Linked DNA regions of Macaca mulatta. The protein of the gene in region 6 purifies or fractionates together with the protein of the main gene of each other region. This does not show direct contact. Links are inferred from orthologs where the notes say so. Each region holds a gene or a part of one and is shown on either strand. Other genes may lie near its edges.

The links.
Region 1: the proteins of MAPK14 (region 6) and OBSL1 purify together in Homo sapiens (affinity purification with mass spectrometry; 6 studies listed by BioGRID and IntAct, counting the BioPlex papers as one, with this or other methods). This does not show direct contact. The link is inferred for Macaca mulatta from reciprocal best matches to the Homo sapiens genes MAPK14 and OBSL1.
Region 2: the proteins of MAPK14 (region 6) and DUSP9 purify together in Homo sapiens (affinity purification with mass spectrometry; 8 studies listed by BioGRID and IntAct, counting the BioPlex papers as one, with this or other methods). This does not show direct contact. The link is inferred for Macaca mulatta from reciprocal best matches to the Homo sapiens genes MAPK14 and DUSP9.
Region 3: the proteins of MAPK14 (region 6) and DUSP16 purify together in Homo sapiens (affinity purification with mass spectrometry; 7 studies listed by BioGRID and IntAct, counting the BioPlex papers as one, with this or other methods). This does not show direct contact. The link is inferred for Macaca mulatta from reciprocal best matches to the Homo sapiens genes MAPK14 and DUSP16.
Region 4: the proteins of MAPK14 (region 6) and CCDC8 purify together in Homo sapiens (affinity purification with mass spectrometry; 3 studies listed by BioGRID and IntAct, counting the BioPlex papers as one, with this or other methods). This does not show direct contact. The link is inferred for Macaca mulatta from reciprocal best matches to the Homo sapiens genes MAPK14 and CCDC8.
Region 5: the proteins of MAPK14 (region 6) and IQGAP1 purify together in Homo sapiens (affinity purification with mass spectrometry; 3 studies listed by BioGRID and IntAct, counting the BioPlex papers as one, with this or other methods). This does not show direct contact. The link is inferred for Macaca mulatta from reciprocal best matches to the Homo sapiens genes MAPK14 and IQGAP1.

What each region holds. Positions count from the first base shown.
Region 1 is NC_133417.1:124,792,014-124,794,388, forward strand, and holds the end of OBSL1 (obscurin-like protein 1), read right to left. Parts: coding exon 2,320-2,375; intron 2,001-2,319; coding exon 1,896-2,000; intron 1,583-1,895; coding exon 1,313-1,582; intron 634-1,312; coding exon 626-633; 3' UTR 501-625; downstream 1-500. UniProt on the Homo sapiens protein: Core component of the 3M complex, a complex required to regulate microtubule dynamics and genome integrity. It is unclear how the 3M complex regulates microtubules, it could act by controlling the level of a microtubule stabilizer.
Region 2 is NC_133426.1:159,878,825-159,882,947, reverse strand, and holds the start of DUSP9 (dual specificity protein phosphatase 9), read right to left. Parts: upstream 2,801-4,123; 5' UTR 2,659-2,800; exon of another isoform or gene 1,657-2,658; coding exon of another isoform or gene 1,599-1,656; intron 563-1,598; exon of another isoform or gene 126-562; intron 1-125. UniProt on the Homo sapiens protein: Inactivates MAP kinases. Has a specificity for the ERK family.
Region 3 is NC_133416.1:14,928,438-14,931,937, forward strand, and holds part of DUSP16 (dual specificity protein phosphatase 16), read right to left. Parts: intron 523-3,500; coding exon 352-522; intron 1-351. UniProt on the Homo sapiens protein: Dual specificity protein phosphatase involved in the inactivation of MAP kinases. Dephosphorylates MAPK10 bound to ARRB2.
Region 4 is NC_133424.1:58,899,860-58,903,990, forward strand, and holds the start of CCDC8 (coiled-coil domain-containing protein 8), read right to left. Parts: upstream 2,801-4,131; 5' UTR 2,665-2,800; coding exon 1,024-2,664; 3' UTR 840-1,023; exon of another isoform or gene 413-839; intron 1-412. UniProt on the Homo sapiens protein: Core component of the 3M complex, a complex required to regulate microtubule dynamics and genome integrity. It is unclear how the 3M complex regulates microtubules, it could act by controlling the level of a microtubule stabilizer.
Region 5 is NC_133412.1:80,384,156-80,387,655, reverse strand, and holds part of IQGAP1 (ras GTPase-activating-like protein IQGAP1), read right to left. Parts: intron 629-3,500; coding exon 520-628; intron 1-519. UniProt on the Homo sapiens protein: Plays a crucial role in regulating the dynamics and assembly of the actin cytoskeleton.
Region 6 is NC_133409.1:146,147,259-146,149,459, forward strand, and holds part of MAPK14 (mitogen-activated protein kinase 14), read right to left. Parts: intron 2,090-2,201; exon of another isoform or gene 1,620-2,089; coding exon 1,446-1,619; exon of another isoform or gene 681-1,445; coding exon 613-680; 3' UTR 1-612. UniProt on the Homo sapiens protein: Serine/threonine kinase which acts as an essential component of the MAP kinase signal transduction pathway.

The DNA.
Region 1 (2,375 bases), on a different chromosome or scaffold from region 6:
CCCGCCGGGGTCCCATGGGCCACCTCCTGCATGTCTCCGCGGAGGGGCTACCTTCCTTCCCATCGCCCTGCCTCCCAGCCAGACTCATCTAAGGGTTCTTGTCCTTGTCTATGGGGCAAACTGTAGCACCCCTCACCGTGGTCCCCTGGCCTCTGCAAAGCCACCAGCCTGAGGGCAGTGGCAGGAGATGGGGGTGGGGGGTGCTGCTCTGGGCTGGGTTGGGAAGGGAGTTGGGGAGGGGCTGAAATGCACGGTGCATGTCTGGTGTCTGTCATGCCAACCTGGACACCTCATGCTTCTGTCTCCCCCACCCCACTCTGTTTTACATCTTTTATAAATGTGCCAAACTGCGTGGCCTCTGCCAGGAATGGTGGTCTTTGGTGGCTGGCACTTTCATGGGCCAGGTACAAGCACTACAGCCCTCGGTCCCCAGTGTCGCTCACTGCACAGAGGCTCCAGGCAAGGTCTGCCCTCCCACATCACTCAGAGAGGCAAGGAAATGAGCTGTAGCACTTTTATTGTCTCCTGACACCTCTGGTTTCCCTGTCTCTCTACCCCTGCCCAGGGTAAGGGCGCACGCCTTCCAAGTTGTCCAAGGGCACCCGCCTGGCCTGGTTCGGTCCTCCTAGTTACCTGCAGAGGAATGACTCCACATGTGGCTGGGGAGAGAGTGGGTACCACCTTTCTCTCCCCTGGCAGAGCCTGGACACCAGTACAGGAAGAGCTGGGGCCCCAGGCTATGCCCTACCCTTTCTCCGTCTTGGTCAGGGCTGTCTTGGCAGCAGGAAGGTGGGGGTCAGCTAGGGATGGGGCACAGGGCAGCACCTGAAGGGAATGCTGGGATTCGGGATAGAAGGTGGGATGTCTCCTACGTGGAAAAGGAAAGAAAGAGGCTTCTGCCGAGGCTGACATGGAACTTGCTGAGATGGGTAGAGGCAAGCTGGGCAGAGGGCAGGAGAGAGGAGGGACAGGCTGGAGGCAGGCAGTGTTGGGGAAGTGGGGAGGAAAGGAACTGGTAGAAACAGGGCTGTTCAAGAGAGACAAACATGGTCCAGTGGCAGGAGAGAGGAGAAGCCTGGCAGGAAGGGGCGTAGAAAGGTGGGAACAGCTGACCAGGAGCAGCTGATCTAAGCCAAGCGGTTCCAGGGCTTTCCAGCCCTAGGTGTGCTCTACCCTTCCCCTCCCCCATCCCCACCTCCGACGTATCCCAGGACCCGTTGCCACCCCAAGTCTTGGAAAGCCAAGTGTGGCTTAACCCATCAGCTCCCAGGCGCCCTCGCTCTCCTGCCTCTGCCCAGTTGACTTTACTCACCCTCTACCAGCAGCCGTGTGTGGGCGCTGTCCTGGCCGGCCTGGCAGCAGTAGGTGCCCTGGTCCTCAGGTCGAACGTCATGGATGACCAGGCTGTGGGTGGGGCCGTGGCTGCGCATCTCATACTTATCTCCCGGGCACAGCTCGGCCCCCTCCCGCAACCAGCACACGTGGCTCCCCGAGCGGGACACAGTCACCTCCAGCACCGCCCGGCGGCCCATCAGAACGGTCTTCTCGCGAGGGGGGTGGCGGCACATCTGGAGAGGCAATGCTGGGGATAGGGGGCAGGAGCTTAAGTTAATAGGGACACGCATGGCCCCCAGGAGAAGAGATGCATCTTCCCTCCCTGCAGCCTCCACTCCTGGCCTTAGCCCTCTATGCCACCAGTCCGTTCCCTTGCACCTCAGACCCAAAGTCTCCTCTTCCCGGGGAAACGCGCTGCCCTCTGTGACCCGACCCAGGACAGCCTCTCGGGGGGAGGGGAAGAGAGAGAGGCAGCGTTCTTGGGGCCAGCCCCAAGTCCGTCAGTCCCATGGCAGGAGACAGAGGATGTACTCTCTGTGGCTCCCGCCCCAGGTGCTTACCCTCCACTTCCAGTAGAGCCAAGGACTGGGCGGGCCCCGCCTGGAAGCGTACTTCACCGGCGTCTTCGGCCCGCAGCTCGCTAAGCACCAGAATGTGTTTCTTCCCTGGGGGTGAGGGGGTCGCTAGCGAGGCCGGAGCCGCCTCTGAGGAGCGCTAGGGACGAAGGTGGGGGCGCAGCAGGCCCCTGGGTCGGTTCGGACACCGTTAGTGTACGCTAGGGTGGGCGGAACCGGGATACCGAGCGGGAAGACTAGCGGTCCGAGACTCGGGGCTGGGGGCGGGGGAAAGACTGGGGACGAGGCTCACAGGGCCGCGGGGCGGGGCCCGTCCGAGTCAGGGGCGGGGCTTGTCCCGGTGGGGCGGGATCTGTCCGAGTCTGGGCGGGGCAGCGAGGGGCCCGAGAGGGTAACCAGGAGGCCAGACCTTCCTGTCTGATGCGGACGCGGGCTCCGGGTCTCAGCGGGCGGCCTCCGAGCTCC
Region 2 (4,123 bases), on a different chromosome or scaffold from region 6:
CTCTCCTCCAGGCAGCCTTCCCAACTCAGAGCCAGTAGTCTCCCTCCTCTGTGCTCCCTAGTGTGGTCACTTTCCCCCTTTCTCAGTGTGTTCCTGGGGCAGGGACTTTGTCTTCTGTCTTCTACCTTCTCCTGTCTCACAGCCTAGCTCCACAGTGGCGGAGGTGGTCACCGGCACCCAGCCTGGGGGCTGCCTCCAGGCCCACTGCAGCTGTGGGTGGGAGCTAAGAGTGGGCAGGGGTTGAAGGCACCACGGAGGTTCTGCCATGTGCCAGTCTGGTTGTGGATAGTGGGGGTGGCACAGGGCTATGACCAGCAGGGAGCTGGACAGCCACTTCCCCCGCCCGCCCTGCTGTGGGGGCTCAGTTTGGCTGGAGAAGGAGCTCCTGAGGTGCTCAGACGTGCTCTCTGGAGAGGGATCCCTGGAGGTGAGAGCTGGGCTGGGATGAGGACGGGGACAGGCAACCTCCGCAATGGTGAAGGAAGGGGAAGCCTAGGATCCAAGGGTCCACGTCTCCTGACGCCTGGCGAGGGACTCCCCTGCACCCAACTGCGGAGTCCTGCTGGCAAGCCCTCCCGCCGGGAGAAAGCATTTGGGAGGAGGCCACTAGGGGCTCAATTTCCAAAGTCAGAGCTCAGTGCTTGGGGCCCACAGCGCCCGCAGCGCCAGCAACAGGACAAATGGGAACCTGTTGCCACCTCCGCACTGCAGGGCTGAGCGCAGCCAACCCCCTAACGCCCCTCTCACCGGCGACCCTAGGCGGGCCGTCCCAACTCAAGCCCCCTGCAGCGCCGGCTCTGGGCTCCGACCCGCCCACAGCCGCTCGCGGGTGCGCTGTGCTGGGGGAGGCCGCGCCGCGCGCCCGGGCCTCGCCTGGCCCCCTCCGGCTGGCGGAGCCAGGCCGCGCGCTCGCTGCTCGCCGCAGGGTGGGCGCTGCGCCTGCCGCCCCCGCCCCCGCCCCCGCCCCCGCCCCCGCCGGGCGCCCTGGGCCTCCGCCGGGCCGGGCCAGCGCCCCCTGGAGGCCGAGGGGACGCCGCCGCCTGCAGGCCTCGCGCGCGCCGCGTGCGCCCTCTGGTCCCGGGAGCCTCCCGAGAGCGGCGCCGCGCCGCCTTCCCCCACGAAATGCATCGTTCCCGCCGGGCCGAGTGACAGGATTTCGGCTGTCGCGGCCGGGTCACATGGCCAAGAGCACAAGTCCCAGCGACAGCGTGCCTGCCAAATCCAGTGTCTTTTCCATCAAATCCACTTTCTGCTGGGGATGGCTTTCTGCTTTTCCTGGTCGGTCTCCTCGCGGGACTGGGAGTTCCTCCAAGGCAGGAACGGGTGTGTGCCCGGCCCCAAGCTGGCCCCAGCCCCCAGTGCAGGGCCTGGCACGCGCCCGGCGCTCGCGGAAGAAATGCTCGTTAACAAAGAAGGCATGAATGAATGAAACCAATTGTTGCCTGAGGGAGCTGCTCCTGCTTTTCCTTCTGCGGATCACACACTCCTCCCCCACCCCGACACGCACAAGCACACGTGCACACACAGCCCTCCCCGTAACACACACGCAGGCAGGCACCCAGACAGCGCGCGCGGACGCCAGCCCCCATGGAACCCACCTACTACGTGCTTGCCGGGCAGCTGGCGTCCTTTTGGTCCCACCTGGGCCGCCTCCATTTCAGCGCCGGGCTCTCTCCGCCTCCTCCCCGCCCCTCCCCGGGGCCCCTTGCTTCCACATCTAAGTACCCTACCTTGGACCCCAAAGTGCCTTCTTTATCTCTTAGGGAAGAGGCCAAACCAGTCGCTGGGGAGTCTCAAGGTCTGTCTAGGGAGGCACCTGGGGGGCCCAAGGCTGCTGAGCCGCTGCCGAAGGAGAGCCAGAGGTGCCTGGCAGGGATGCCACCAAATGCTGCAGCCTCTAGAGCCCGCGTGCCAGGTGTTGGGGGGGGGAGGAAGGGAGGGACTCAGAGATGTGCTGGGGGGTGTCGAAGGCTATTTGTGATGGGGGCGGGGCAGGGTGCTGGAGAGCGTGAATCCAGCAGGTGTGCGCGCTTGCTGGGGTGGATGAGAGTGCGCCTTGGAGATGCTGGAGGTGTGTGCTTGGGACGTGGGGAGTGTCAGCCACTGGGATATGGGTTTCTGATGGGACCTTGCTCCGGGGTGGGTGGACTGCAGTGTCTGTGGGCTGGGAACGTGGGTGGGGTGTCTGTAATGGGCAGATGGGGAGTTCGAGGTGGTGGGGGCATGGTAGGGGGAGCTATGTTAGTGCAGGTATCGCAGAGATGTGTTGGAAGCGTGCGTGTGCGCCTGGGTGTGTATTGGGGCGTGGCAGGGTCTCGGTGGGTTGGCATGAGTTGGGGACAGTGGTGAGTGGTGGGGCAGGGGCTGCTAGTGTGTGCACTACAGGAACCCGGGTCTGTGGTGCGAGGTTTGTACGCGAGCGAGTGTGCAGCCGGTGTAAGTGACAGGGGACACGGGAGGTGCACAGGCGGGGTGCGGGGGTGTGCGGCGGCAGCACCGAATGGGTCTCGTGGGGGCGCGTGCGCCGGCTTCGTGGGGTGTGCGTTGTCAGGACTTTGGGGCTGCAGGATGGAGGAGCGCACGTCGGGGCGGGGGCAGTCAGGCCGGGTGGGGTGGGGGTGGGGTGGGGGTCCCCTGGGCGCCGCGTGCTCCACTCACCTCCGCTCTGCTCGGTTCTCCGCGCCGGTTCCCTGCGTCGCGGCCGGGAAGTTTCCGAAGCTCGGGCGGCGGGAAGCGCCACTGCTGCCGCCTAACGCCACCGGAACCCTGGGTGGCGGCCTCGCCTGGAGCGGAGGGGCAGCCGCCGCCGCTGCGGAGGGAAACTCCAAATCCCGCCTCCGCCGCCGCTGCCTCCTCCGCCTCTGCCGCCGCCTCCTCTCCTCCCGTAGCCGTCTTCTCCGCCCCCTGCCCAGGAGGGGCACTGTAGCTGGCGGCGCGCAGGGAGGGAGCGGGGAGGGGCCGCAGCCTGCCCGGCGTCTCCCTCCACCTCCCACGCCCCCGCCCGCCTTCCTCCCACCTGCAAGCCTCTGCCCTCTAGGCCAGTCCTGTCCGACGCGCCCTGCGCTCCCCGGTCCCCAGTGGCGCTACTGAGTGGGGGCTCCCGAGCTTGGGGCGCGGGAGTGGGGTTGGGGGCCCTGAACTAAGCTGGACCTGGGCTAGGGGGACAGTTACAGCGCAGAATCTGCACTGGCACCCCAGCGAAGGGGCCCATTGAGGACCGGGCACAGCTTGGTCCCCCAGAGCCACCTCCTGCTCCCACAGTGGAGAGGGTATAAAATCCGGCTGACAGCGCTGCCAATTCCACCCCCCACCCCAGGTCCCCCTGCAGTGTCTCCTCTCATTCTCATGTGTCAGATTCTGGCTAATAGTAATAGCATTTGAGCCTCAGTGCCTGGAAGAGGTGGAGCCAGGACGTTTGGGTGGGGGAGGGGCTGGGAGCGAGTAGGGAGAGGCTGTTGTCACTAGGTCCCGTTAGCTTTCTCCTCTGTACCAAAGGTCACACGCATTGCCCATCGAGGACCTCATTTTATCCTTACAGCAGTTCTGGAAGTCTAAGGAGTTTGTCCCCATGCTACAGCCAGGGAAACTGAGGCCGTGGCTCCCTGGTGGTGGCACAATAGTGTAGTGGCAGAGTAGGATGTGGCTTGGTCTGGCTGAGTTCAGAAGCCTAGAGCCTGAGCAAGTGTGAGTGCAGAAGGTTGCGTGGGGAGGGGAGGCAAAGGGCAGCCCGCGGGGATGTGCACCTGGCCTTCCTGGGGCTTCCAGGCCAGCCTGGCCTCGTGCCTTCAGTGGGGGATTGCCTGAGACTCGGCAGGAGGCTGTGAGCATCAAGGGCCGTCTTCTCCGCCCAGGGAGCGCAGGATAAGGTGCGGCCAGGCAGGGCTGGGATGCCAGCAGCTCCGCTGGCCGCTTGGCTGTGTCTGCGGCAGCGCTGAATTCCCCTGAGTCATTACCCCTGGAAGAGACGAGGGCAGCACTTTGCCTCTGGAGCCCAGGTCCTTGTCCCATCTGGGTCTCCATTTCCTGGTCTGTAGGTTTGGGGAGAGAGGTGGGACCATATGATCTTCAAGGGCCCTCCTAGCTGTGCTGCAGTTTCAAGCCATGGCACCGGAGCTGGGAGGGT
Region 3 (3,500 bases), on a different chromosome or scaffold from region 6:
AAAAAAATACATACATACTTCCAACAAAACAATATTCCAGTAAATGTTCTCAAAGAGAAACCACAGAATCCAAGGAAATGCCACTTGAATTTCATTTTAACCTTATAAATGATTATTTTTATAATGTATGTAATCCTAGAACGTACTGAACGCTTACTGTGTGACAAACGCTGCTCTAAGCACTCTATAGGTATTTTACACACTCTTATAACTGCCCTATGAGGTAGGTATTACTACTAATCCCATTCATAGATAAGGCTCAGAATCACATAATATAGGCTCAGAATCACGTAATATAATAACTGGAAGAGCCAGGTTATAAGTCTACTTTTCTAAATCCTGTGGAATTACCTTCAACTCTCCCTTGGATGCAGGGACATTGCTGATGATATTCACGGGGTCCTGGCCTCCCAGCTGTGACCAGGCTAAAACGGCCATGGTCCTTTCCCAAACTGATGGAAGAGCCTTGTTTCCCCAAAGCCATATTGCTCAAAGGCTTCAATGAGGGAGAAGAAAGAAGATCTGACAAGACCAGAGAAAGGAGAATCTCTTTAAAGGCAATTTCACACGACACCAATAACAAAGTTTACAGATGAACTAGTTGAAATGTAAATATGGTCACTGGTTTGTTCATGACCATTTACACAAGTTGGTAGTAAAGTTGAGGCCATGTCTTGGCTTTCAGGTCACCCCCTACAGAACAACTTTCAGAGGAGACGCAATTCTGCAATAATCATAAACTGAGCCATCAGCCAGGCTGTCTGAGGTCCAGCTCTAGCGTTAATTAGTACAGTAATCCTATGTCACTTTGACTTCAGTGGACCTCAAAAGTAAATGTGGCTCTAGAAAGTTCTGAGACAGAGAACAGAAACAAAGGAGAGAAAGAAACCATCGTTCAGCCTCAAAACAAAAGAGCCAAACATAACAACAACACTACACTGTAAAACATATTATAAAACAAAAGAAGCTTTTTCAACTGATATCTAGAACAAATTCAAACAAACAAATATTTTAAAATATCTAACAGATTTAGCTGCAATCAGAACATTCATTTAGTGCTCAGTTTGGCTTGAAATGTCCCAAACTGGCTCCTAGTCACTTCCAGAAAACACCACCTCGGCCAGAGTACATTTTCACTGATCTTTATCTATGACAATGTTCCACTCTGCTGACATCCTCCTTCATTGACAGTTTTTTCCATTCACTGACCTTTCATTCACTGCTGCACTCTAGTGACTCCAGTTTCGTTTCATTAATTAACAACAGATGAGACACTGCCTGATTCCCTTGAACCTCTGAAAACTATCTGTGGCCTCACCAGCAACTCAGTTTTGAAACGTGTTTAAAATGTCCCTCTTCCTTTCATAAGTTCTCTTACAAATAAGATCTACTTCAGAAGGAAAGTTCAATCATGCAAACTTTCTGCTCCAAATGGCTGACGGAGACAGAGAATGAAGTGTCCTCTTATCTGCCCTCGTCATAACTTTGTTGTCCCAGGGACTCCAAGCTAGATTCCATTACAAGACATAACATCGACCATTATCCGCTATTTACTGTGAAAAGCAGTACCGAAAAACTGATAAGCTTCTTGAAAAAATTTGCGCATATTTTTTAAAGTTGTCTGAAGACTTGACTCACTGTCCAATCTTGCCAAGTTTCTCCTGTTCCTAATTTTATGCTGTTTATCATCTGGGAATGCAGAAAACGGAGTCATAGTAACCTATATGTGTTTCCCTAACATGGACCTGAACCTAAGAATGACTGTGCCCCCTATTCTGGAAGTATCTGTGCTAAGAGGAAGGAAGACAAATACGCAGACACTTCCAGCCTGCTGAGAAACAGGGATGGGCAGTCTCTGCAGGCAGAGAAGCGTCTTGGCCTCCACAGCTGTGGGTGCACAGGCAGCCAGACCGCAATGCTAAAAACCCATGTTTCTGTTTGTTAGTCTTCCATAAATCCAACCAAAAGAATGCATGTTTACAAATAAAAACATAGATACTACTTCCGACACAGAAAACATGTGGTACATACAGCTTCTAAGGCATTCCTGATTTAGATAACACCTTATCCTAATTCAGCCATGAAAACATTTTCCCTTAGGAGCACCTCCTTCACAATTCCAATCATAAATACGATTTTCTGTAAAAGCAAACGTGAACCACCATTCCATTTTGGGAGGGAAAAATCTGCTAAGCAAAATAAAATACATATAACAACTCTACTAAACAATTCTAATTAGTCACTCTTTTTTCTTCCCTCTCACCCATGCAATCAGTTATAAATCACAGTATTTTCTTAAAATGGAAGTATATTTACATAATAAAAGTAGTACTCTACTGTGGCTTAGTGATATTCTTAAAATGTTTTTAAGGCCAAAGTTCTAAAAATAGATCCCTATCCTTTTAGCAATTCCATGACTTTAAAGATGGTTTCCTGCAGTGAGAGACAGGACCTTTCCACTCATGCCTTCATTTAAATAGGGAGCAAGTCACTAGAGATTTATCAATTGACAGAGCCGCCTTCAAGGAAGGCAGAATCAAAGAGAACTGCCCTCCCACCCTATATTGTGAATGGATTCCATGGTTATACAAAGAAATAATATTGATACAAAGCTCTACTTTATGGAAGACATTTTTCTAAAAAGTCATATGCAAATTTAACTTTTATATTTTAAATAATCTGCATATAGTTCATATGGTTGCACAGTTTTGAACTATGCAGTTAAATTCTTGTTTTTTGTTTGTTTTTGGAGACGGAGTTTTGCTCTTGTTGCACAGGCTGGAGTGCAATGGCACAATCTCCGCTCACCCACAACCTCCAACTCCTGGGTTCAAGCAATTCTCCTGCCTCAGCCTCCCAAATAGCTGGGATCACAGGCATGCGCCATCACGCCCAGCTAATTTGTCCGGCTAATTTTGTATTTTTAGTAGACACAGGGTTTCTCCATGTTGGTCAGGCTGGTCTCCAACTCTCAACCTGAGGTGATCTGCCCGCCTTGGCCTCCCAAAGTGCTCGGATTACAAGCATGAGCCACCATGCCTGGCCATTACATTCTTTTGTAGTTCTCACATAGTTTAATTATTTTGTAAAACAAAACTCCCTTTTTGTAACATAAACACAATCCTTTCAGTTGCTTATTTTAGAATATATGTGAAAAACTAGAGTACACCTTCACCTGTAGAGGACAGTTCTCTCTTCTCTCCATACTGGAAAGAAAATCTGTTGCTTTATGATCACACAAAGGAGACAACTCTAACATTAAAAATGGAAAATAATGAAAATGTTTATTTTGCAGTAAAGTACTTTAATTGCTCTTAAGAGTAATTCTGTTATGCCTCAGTCTGACATGTCTGATTTAGGCAACTTCGTTCTCTAGACACTCACAGACTAAAGTATGGTCACAATTCTTTCAGGATCAGCAGACAGTAAACATGGAGAGTTGAAACTAGTTGAAGAAAAGAAAAAAAAAAAAAGCAACATAATTTCATACCCCTAAAAAA
Region 4 (4,131 bases), on a different chromosome or scaffold from region 6:
CCACGTCCGGCCAACCACAGCCCCTCTTTTAGGCCTTTTCTTATTGCAATGAGTTTTCAATGTGTCCAATGGCCGAATTGCCCAGATGTTTGGAAGCTTGATGCAAACAGAATTCAGAGCCACACAGGCACCGCTAGCAAATCCACATCTCTGATGCTGAGGGCCCCAGAATCTGTGTTTTGAACGCATTTTTCAGATGCTTTTACTGTACCTTACAACCAAGATCGGGAGAGGTATGCAAACCAAGGGCCCTGTCCCCTCCAAAGCAGCAGAGTCCAGGGGCATGAGGATGGCAAGCGAAGTGACAACATAAACACAGGTGTCTCCATCTTCAAGGATGGGAGTAGAACGGACAGGAAGGGCCGGGTCACCCCCAGAGCATTCGTCAGTTGCCAAGTCCAAAGCTAAGAAACCAGTTCATAAATGTTTTTTTATTTGCATGTTGGCTCAAGTCCTCTTTTTAAGTCCAAGGAGGCAGTCCACGTTAAGTGTGCAGGCAAAAAAGGGACAGGAAAAGCAGGCAATTTCTCCCCTGCCCTCCCGCTCTCCTTTTATCAAGCTGAGCACCTTGAGTTGCATTTGAGGAAATTAAAACTATAGGTGACAGAACCCCCTTGTATCGAATTCTTTCTTTACATTTTTTGGGTTGCTACAAGGAATCACTATATATATGTATATATGTATATATATATATATATTTTATCAGGTGGTACGTGTGGTGGCTCACACCTGTCATCCCAGCACTTTGGGAGGCCGAGGCAGGAGGATCACTTGAGGCCAGAAGTTTGAGGCTGCAGTGATCATGCCACTGCACTCCAGCCTGGGCAACAGAGTGAGACCCTGTCTCTAAAAAATTTTTTAAAAATCAACGCATGAGACAAAACTTTAACAAGAGAATAAAGAGGGTTGTAAGGTGGAGATGTGGGCAGCACTCCAACTCCACTTTCAAGTTCAGAGGCAGAAAGAGCAACTTTCTCTCCCACGCTTGTAGGGAGGGCCCGTGGGCTGTCTCTAGCCCTCACCTCACAGCTGGTCTTCTCGCTCTCCCTGTTCAGCTTCTGCTCTGGCCTCGGCCCTCAGCACCCTGAGGCTCCTGGCCTCGCCTGCCCTGGGGACTCTCTTGGGCAGGGTTGGCAACCGGGGAGTGTGCCAGAAGGCTCTCCGGGGCTTGCGAAACCACGAAAAGCGTCCAGGGGTCTGGAACCTCACTGTCTTGACCTGTTTCCGGGCCCTGGCTCCTGAAGCTGTTCCTGTGGCCCCTTGGGTAGCTGAGGCTTCAGCTTCCTGGATACCTGGGGCCCCTGCCGTCTGATTATGTGCAGCCTCTGCCCTTTGGCCAGCCCGGGCCTGTGCCCTCTGATTACCTGCACCCTGGACAGCTGGGGCCCTTTCCCTCTGGTCATGTATGGCCTCTTCCCTTCGAGGATCTGTAGCCTCTGACCCCTGGTCAGCTAGAGCCTCTTCCCTCAGGTTATCTGCACCCTGTGGCCTATGGTCAGCTGGGGCCTCTGCCCTCTGATTATCTGCAGCCTCTTCCCCATGGTTATCTGCAGCCTCTGCCCCCTGGTCAGCTGGGGCCCCTGCCCTCTGATTACCTGCAGCCTCTTCCCTCTGGTCAGCTATGGCCTCTTCCCTCTGATTATCTGCAGCCTCTTCCCTATGGTTATCTGCATCCTCTGCCCCCTGGTCAGCTGGGGCCCCTGCCCTCTGATTACCTGCAGCCTCTTCCTCCTGGTCAGCTATGGCCTCTTCCCTCTGATTATCTGCAGCCTCTTCCCCCTGATCAGCCTCGATGTCTGCCCCCCGACCTGTGGGCGCTGTCTGCTCCTTCCTGCGGCGCCTAAACGAGGCCCAGTTGATCTTGGGCCTCCATCGCCTAGGGGAGGCCTGCGGGGCACAGACATCTCCCACATTTTCCACAGGATCCCCGGGATCCCCCGGGCTGGTGCCGGAGGATACCCCTGCGCTCTCCACTGGGATGGAGGCCAGCCGGGCCTCGCCCACCCCGGGGCCCGCCCTCGGCGCCCAACCCTTCACCCTCCGCTTCAGCTTCCCCCAGGACACCTGGCTGACATACTCCCGCCACCTGTCCGCCTTGGACAGCTGAGGCCCCAGGTTGTCCTCAAACATGGGCACTGGCAGGTTGACGCGGCGGCGGGCAGGCGGCGCGGGGGGCTGCTTCTCCTGTCGCCGGAGAAATGCCTCCACCAGTTCCTCATCATCCTCGCTCTCCACGTCGCTTCCCAGGAACTTGCTGCCCAGGTAGCTGACGGGCATTTTGCGCACCTTCTTGCCCCGCCGCGGGCCCTGGCGGCTCTTGTCTCTGGAGGTCTCGAAGTCGCTGAACTCGCTGTCGCTGGCGTTGCTGCTGTCATACGTGCCCACGACCAGCCGGGGCGTAGGAGTCACCATCTGCTGCACTCTCCTCCTCACTCGGGGCTCCTTGGGCTTTTTGGGGGGCTGGGGCGGGTGCGGGGTGCTCTTCTCGATGATGCGGGCCACGTCCTCCAGGGTGCGGCCCTGTTCTTCCAGGAACTGGGTCAGCCGCTCCCGAAATTCTGCTTCCTTGGTGGCAGGCTTAGAGATGACTCTCCAGACGCCCCCGGCCAGCCTGACCTCCCGGGGGATGAGCAAATAGTCGACGTCCTCCCCGATCTGCAGCATCCCCACCGTGGAGTCCTCCTCCTTGCGGAACACCTTGCCGATCTTCTTAAATGTTCCCACGGGTTTTAGGGCTTCCACGAGGACGTCCAAATCCACATCTTTGCAGACATCGGGGACGCTCCAAAGAATGAGGCAGTCGGGGGACGGGAGGAAGCCCCAGGGGAACCAGCCCCCCACGTGGCTTTTCTCGAGAGTCTTTAAGATCTCCAGGGTGATATCTGGGGTGAGGGAGCAAAGAGCCCCAACAAACTACTGTAGCCCTTAGTCTTGAGGGAGGGACTGGATGGGGGGAGTCCCAGCAACGCTGACCGCAGAGTCTCACCTCCCCAGCCAGGGACGAGTCAACGCCTCCAATCTCTTCTCCTGCAACAAGTCCAGTCTTGACCAAGTCCGGCTCCTCCACCAAGGACTTGGGAGAATCAATTTCCAGGATGCCTACGTGAGCCGGAGGCGAGGTCAGTCCCAAGGTTCAAGGCCCACTCCAAGCTGGAAACGTGGTGTCCCAGCTCCAAGTTGGGGCGCGCGGGCTGCCAGCGATTCTTCCTGCCCCAGGCCCCTGGGACGCGGTTGGAACTTGGGAGAGGACTTCGCAGACAAAGACGGTCCAGTCGAGGCTATTCAATATGGCGGAGGCGCTGAGAGGCCTCAGCCCGGCCCCCCAGTAGGGTCCCCCGCCCCCAGGCAGGCCACCACCCAGCTCCAGGCTGACCTTGACGCGCCGCAGCCTGCCAGCCCGCGCGCTTAGGGCTCTGCACGGTGGAGCGCACCAGCAGGAAGTTCCTCCTTGCCCTCCGCCAGAATGAGGCCCACCTTCCCCCGTCTCATCTTACACTCCCAGACTCTGGAAGACTGACAGGGGGGCTGTCCACTCCCTTCGGGGCAGCCTCCTTCCCCTCCCCCACAGGGGTGTGGCCGCGCCTGGGGCCTAGCTGGGCCCATTGCTTCCCAGCGAAGCGGCGGTGGCCCACGTCAGCACCTTTGCTGAAAGGCAGCGGTTCCCAAACCTGCCATCCGAAATGTACAAGTTTCCAGCCAAGTCCTGGAGGTGGGTGTGCCAGTGGATTCTACCTTTTGAGAGCCACTGGCACCATAGATTAGCATTTTAAATTCACGCGACTATCCGTACCCGTACACCCAGACGCGTGGGTAGAGAAATGGGTACCGGGATCTTATTGCAACAGTCCCCCTGTGACGCTTGGCAGGAGGTCAGGGCTCTACATATTTTTGAGTGGATGAATAAACCTGAATGTTCATAGCCAGGCGCGGTGGCTCATGCCTGTAATCCCAGCACTTTGGGAGGCCTAGGCGGGTGGAACACTTGGAGGCCAGGAGTTCGAGACCAGCCTGGCCAACATGGTGAAACCCTCGTCTCTACAAAAAATACAAAAATTAGCCGGGTGTGGTGGTGTGCGTGTGTAGTCCCAGCTACACGGGAGGCTGAGGCAGGAGAATGGCATGAACCCGGGA
Region 5 (3,500 bases), on a different chromosome or scaffold from region 6:
AACGTGTAAAAATCAGATATTTCAAAATAAAACTTAGGGATCTTTATGCTGTAAAAATGAATTACTCCCGAGTTCTTTTTGGATTTAAGATAGGATGTGGTTTACAAACATAAACTTTACACACACCTTGTCAGAAGTGCATCTAACCTTTAAGTACCTACATCAAATCAAAATGAGAAAAAAATTTCAAGCTACTGAGTGGACTTACAATTTTGCAATGTCAGCATGTGTACTTATGCATTTTGTTCAAGTCCAAGGTATCAGCTCAATTTAGTGGCAGCACTAAGTGGAAGCTTCAGATAAATGTTTTCTGAAGATTTACATCTGCAAAAGCTCTCCAGAGTGTACACACCAAACCAGACGTGCTGCAACACTCAGCTTCTTTCCCCACAGTGTGGAGCCCAGCTCACTGCTGAATGTAGACAGCTTTCCTCAGATGAGTCTCCTCTTTATCTAGTTCTCCTACTTGGACAAGAATCTCATCCAGAAAGCTTTTGGTTCCTGCTGGTGCATACCCACCTGATAATGTAACATAAAAGTCTCCATTTGAACTCCCATGAATTTGGCTTTCACTTCAAAGTCTCCAACTTCTTCTGTTGGACTGATTTCAAAGATAACATTTTTAAACCTGTTGAAAGATAACATCGTAAGGGTATGGTTTTTATGTTCTTATATAAAAATATTCTGTGAAATGGGGAAAGGAGATGAACCAAGTCTTCAAGGGTGAAAAGGGGTAGAAAATACAGGTCAAAAGTACTTCTGCACCTGAAGCAGCACGGATTGCCATGCCTAAGTACCATCTGCTCTGGGACTTGGAGAGAGGAATGGCAACCTCTCTCTGCCTGCAGCACTTGCATTCTATAAAAGAAGAACCACTGAGGAGTGCCACAAGTGGCCTGTGAAGGGATGACATCATAGTAATTCTCTTCACTTCCACATGGCCAAAAATGAAACCTAATGATAAAAGGAGAAAACAGGAAACTGGGGTGGAAGGAGATGGTATGTGTGTTTGAATACATGCATGTTTGAGGACTGGGAGAAGTAAATAAACAAAAGGGGGTCAGTAAAAAAAGCTCCAAGGGAGGAGGTTTTTCTAGAAAGAGTAGGTGCTGTGTACATAAGCACACTCAGTATTACCAAAGATAAATTGTTATTATTAAAAATATTTAAGTTATCACTCATTCACAACATGTTACCTGCCAGGAAATTTTAGGAAGCCAAAAGGAAAAGGGGTTATGCAGCCGGGCACGATGCCTCACATCTGTAATCCCAGCACTTTGGGAGACCGAGGCGGGTGGATCACAAGGTCAAGAGATCGAGACCATCCTGGCCAACATGGTAAAATCCCGTCTCTACTAAAAATACAAAAATTAGCTGGGTGTGGTGGCATGCATCTGTAGTCCCAGCTACTCAGGAGGATGAGACAGGAGAATTGATTGAACCCGGGAGCCAGAGGTTGCAGTAAGCTGAGATAGTGCCACTGCAGTCCAGCCTGGTGACAGAGCAAGACTCCGTCTCCAAAAAAAAAAAAAAAAAAAAAAAAAAAGGGGATTAAGGCATTCTCTGGGTGATCAAAGTATAGCACCCCAGATTTCCAGAACTCAACTATGGAGCTACCTTACCTATTACAAACAGGGCTGAGAACCATGAAAGATGCAAAAAGGTCACTGAGAGTTAAAGGAGAAGTCACAAAAACCCATGCACTGAAACATACATGCATTTTATTCAACTGGAATGCCTCACGGGTTATTCCTTAAAGATATTTATCTTAAGTGATAAATAATTTTATCAGATTTAGTTGGCTATTTAGTTTCTAAACCCATAGAAGCAAATTAAAAAGAAGAAAGAAAGGCAAATAGAGGTAGGCACTTGAACAGTAGTGGAAAATAATGACAAAAAGAAGGGCAATATTGACTCATGCCTGTAATCTCAGCACTTTGGGAGGCCAAGGCAGGAGGACTGCTTGAGCCCAGGAGTTCAAGACCAGCCTGGGCAACAAAGTGAAACCCTGTCTCTACAAAATATAATTAGTTGGATATGGTGGCACATGCCTATGGTCCCCGCTACATGGGAGGCTAAGGTGGGAAGATCTCTTAAGCCCAGGAGGTTAGGGCTGCAGTGAGCTGTGATCATGCCAGTGCACTCCTGCCTAGGTGACATAGCAAGACTCTTTCTCTAGAAAAAAATTTAAAAATTATGTACCCATTAAAAAGGATGCTTTCAATGAATATAAAAAATGCTCACAGCATAATGTTATAAGAAAAAAGTTGGATACATGACCATAAACAGTATTGTCCCAGTTTGTGTTAAAAAATATTAAGTAGTTATTTTAGGCTGGGTGCAATGGCTCATCCCTATAATCCTCCCAGCATTTTGGGAAGCTGAGGAGGGCAGATCAGCTTAAGATCAGGAGTTTGAGACCAGCCTGGCCAACATGGTAAAACCCTGTCTCTACTAAAAATACAAAAATTATTTGGATGTGGTGGCAGGCACCTGTAATCCAAGCTACTTGGGAGACTGAGGCAGGAGAATCACTTGAACCTGGGAGGCGGAGGTTACAGTGAGCTGGAGGTTGCAGTGAGCCGAGATTATGCCACTGCACTCCAGCCTAGGCTACACAGAGAGACTGTTCCCCCTCCAAAAAAAAGGCCTGTAATTCCAGCACTTTGGGAGGCCGAAATGGGAGGATCACGAGGTTAGGAGATCAAGACCATCCTGGCTAACATGGTGAAACCCCATCTCTACTGAAAATACAAAAACTTAGCTGGGTGTGGTGATGCATGCCTGTAGTCCCACCTAACTGGGAGGCTGAGGTGGGAGAATTGCTTGAACCCTGGAGGCCAAGGTTGCAGTGAGCTGAGATCGCGCCACCATACTCCAGCTTGGGTGACAGAGAGACTCCGTCAAAAAAAGAAAAAAAGGGGGGGGGGAGAAGAAGAAGAACAAAAAAAAATATATATAAAGTAGTTAGATAAATAAGTGGGTGAGTTGTGGATAATCTTTATGTGAATAGAAAAAAAATACATTAAAATGATTTCCCTGGTTATCTCTGGCTTGTGAAATTACAGGTGTTTTCTTTTTTATGCTTTACTGTATCTTCAAAGTTTAATAATGAATACATATTATTTTAGAATCAGAAAACTGTAAAAGTTCTTTTTTTAAAAGTTTTTTTTTTTTCCCCAGACACAAGAAGGGAAAGATCAGTAGCCTGACGTCACAGGGCTGACTGAGCAGACGCTTAATAAATGCTTGCTAATGAGGCTGGGCCCAGGATCTATGGGAGGATGACATGTCAGGTCCATGAACCACCTGCAAAGCAAGCTGATACTTCCCAGAAAAGAAAATGAAGGTTAAGTGCCTGGTTCCTAGCTGTAAGTGGAATAAAGCAAACTCCTCTTATTGTTACTCTTAATTTATTCTTGGTTCAGAAACAGAAGAAATCCAAGGAGTGGCTTCCTGCTTTAATGATGAAAAATTAAGATCAGACCCAAAGAAGTGAA
Region 6 (2,201 bases):
CATATTTACAGTTTCAAATACACCTGTCAAGATCTGAGAACCATACGAAGCAAGTTAATCACAGGCTAGTGCACAGAAGCCGGTTGGTCCTTTTTGGCTGTACGCATCACTGAGGGACAGCGTTGGGTCTGAAGCAACCAGAAGGTGTGGGCCTTCTCTTGTGCCACTGTGGGATGTTGTCAAGTCTATGCCCCACCGTCAAGGTGGGGGTCACAGGAGAAGCCAAAGTGGCAAAAGCATGACCAGGATTGGGGACAATTCATATTTTTTTACTTTGCATTGAACATATTCCTAAAAAGACAGCAGCTTGCCTGCCTGAGCCAACTCTCAGAAAGAAGAGCAAGGTGGAGGCTGCCCTGAAGCATCCACAACCTCATGTAAAGTCACCACAACCTCATGTAAAGTCACTGTGATCATAGTTTGTTCATATTGTCTTACCTTCCCACAAAGACAGACACACACATGCACACACACTAACACGCGCACACACACCCCCTTCCACCATGGAGGAAATCTCTGCAACAAGAGGCACTTGAATGATATTTGGAGAGTTCCCGTGAAAAGGCCTTCCCCTCACAGTGAAGTGGGATCGACAGAACAGAAACCAGGTGCTCAGGACTCCATCTCTTCTTGGTCGAGGGGCGGTGGCACAAAGCTGACGACTTCATCATAGGTCAGGCCTAGACATCGGGAAGGAAAAGTAAGACGTGAGAGTTTAGGCTGTTCTCTTTGCTGGCGAGCACTCTGACTTCACTCAAGATCCTTCCTCCCTGTCCAGGTAGTGGTATGATGGGCTACCTCACAGCTGGTATGTAATATTCTAATGGAGCACGTTATCACACAGAAGTTCGAGGGACATAGAAAAGAACCTTTTTTTTTCCTCATGTTTTTCATTGCTGAATGCCTCTTAAGTTCTCTACGGAGGTGCTCAAGAATGAAAGAGCACTCTCACAAGCTACGGCAACAGATGGTCTTGGCTCTTTGGATTTAACTGGAGTTCTGAACTTGTGTTTTATGGAAAGAATATGGGACTGGACACAGGATACACGGGTTCCATTCCTGGCTATGTCCCTAACTAGTTCTAAGTTAACTGGTAAGACATAAATTCTCTTTGCCCCAGTTCTACTAACTGTAAAACTGTAAAAATATCCTATTCTTTACTTAGCTCAGAGAGATGTTGTAAATGCAATAACTCTGAAAACCTCAAATCTCCATGCAAAGCTCCTATATGTGAGGGGCTGTGCATAAAATCAGACCAGATGTTAAGTATCTCAAAGGTCCAGAGAGTATCACTGTCTACAACACTTTCCACCAGAGAACATATTCATTCTGCATTACAGACCTCAACTACAAGCTTTAGCAAGTTGGTTATGACCATTCAGTTTTTATTTTCCCACCGCTTTCGGTTAGTGGTACAAGATGTTAATCCTACCCTTAGGACTTACTTTTCCACTCATCTATAAGGAGGTCCCTGCTTTCAAAGGACTGATCATAAGGATCGGCCACTGGTTCATCATCAGGATCGTGGTACTGAGCAAAGTAGGCATGTGCAAGGGCTTGGGCTGCTGTAATTCTCTTATCTGAGTCCAATACAAGCATCTTCTCCAGCAAGTCGACAGCTATCAGTACCATAGACAGGAAGGAAAATAGTTTTTAATATGTTACAAAAAAGTATGCCTTATTAAGCAAACATAGTTTTGACCCTTCATATCCAAACAAGGAATTCTCCTCCAAAAATACCTACTCTAGGATATACTGGCCCTTTTCTCCTTTACGTGTGTGTGTGTATCTGTATTTTGTATGTTTAAAATGTTTTATTTTATTTTTGATTCGGGGGTACGCGTGCACATTTGTCACATGGGTCTCACGGATGGGGACTGGGCTTCCAGTGTGCCCAATAACCAAATAGTGAACATTGTGCCCAACAGGTTATTTCTCAACCCTCACCCTCCTCCTGTATTTTGTATTTTTAAAGAACATGTTACTAAAGAAGAATTTTTTTAAATGACTAGGATTGTGTTTGAACAGGCTTTTGTGGAACGTCAATGTCAAACTGCTACCAGTGTAGTCAAACTGTATAAAAACAAAAGCCTACAGCTACAGTAATCTAGAATAGGTAGGCAGGACTGTTTTTTGTGTGTTTGTTGTTGTTGTTTTTTGTCCCCCTTCGCTGTTTATTTACTAACATAAGACAAATAAAT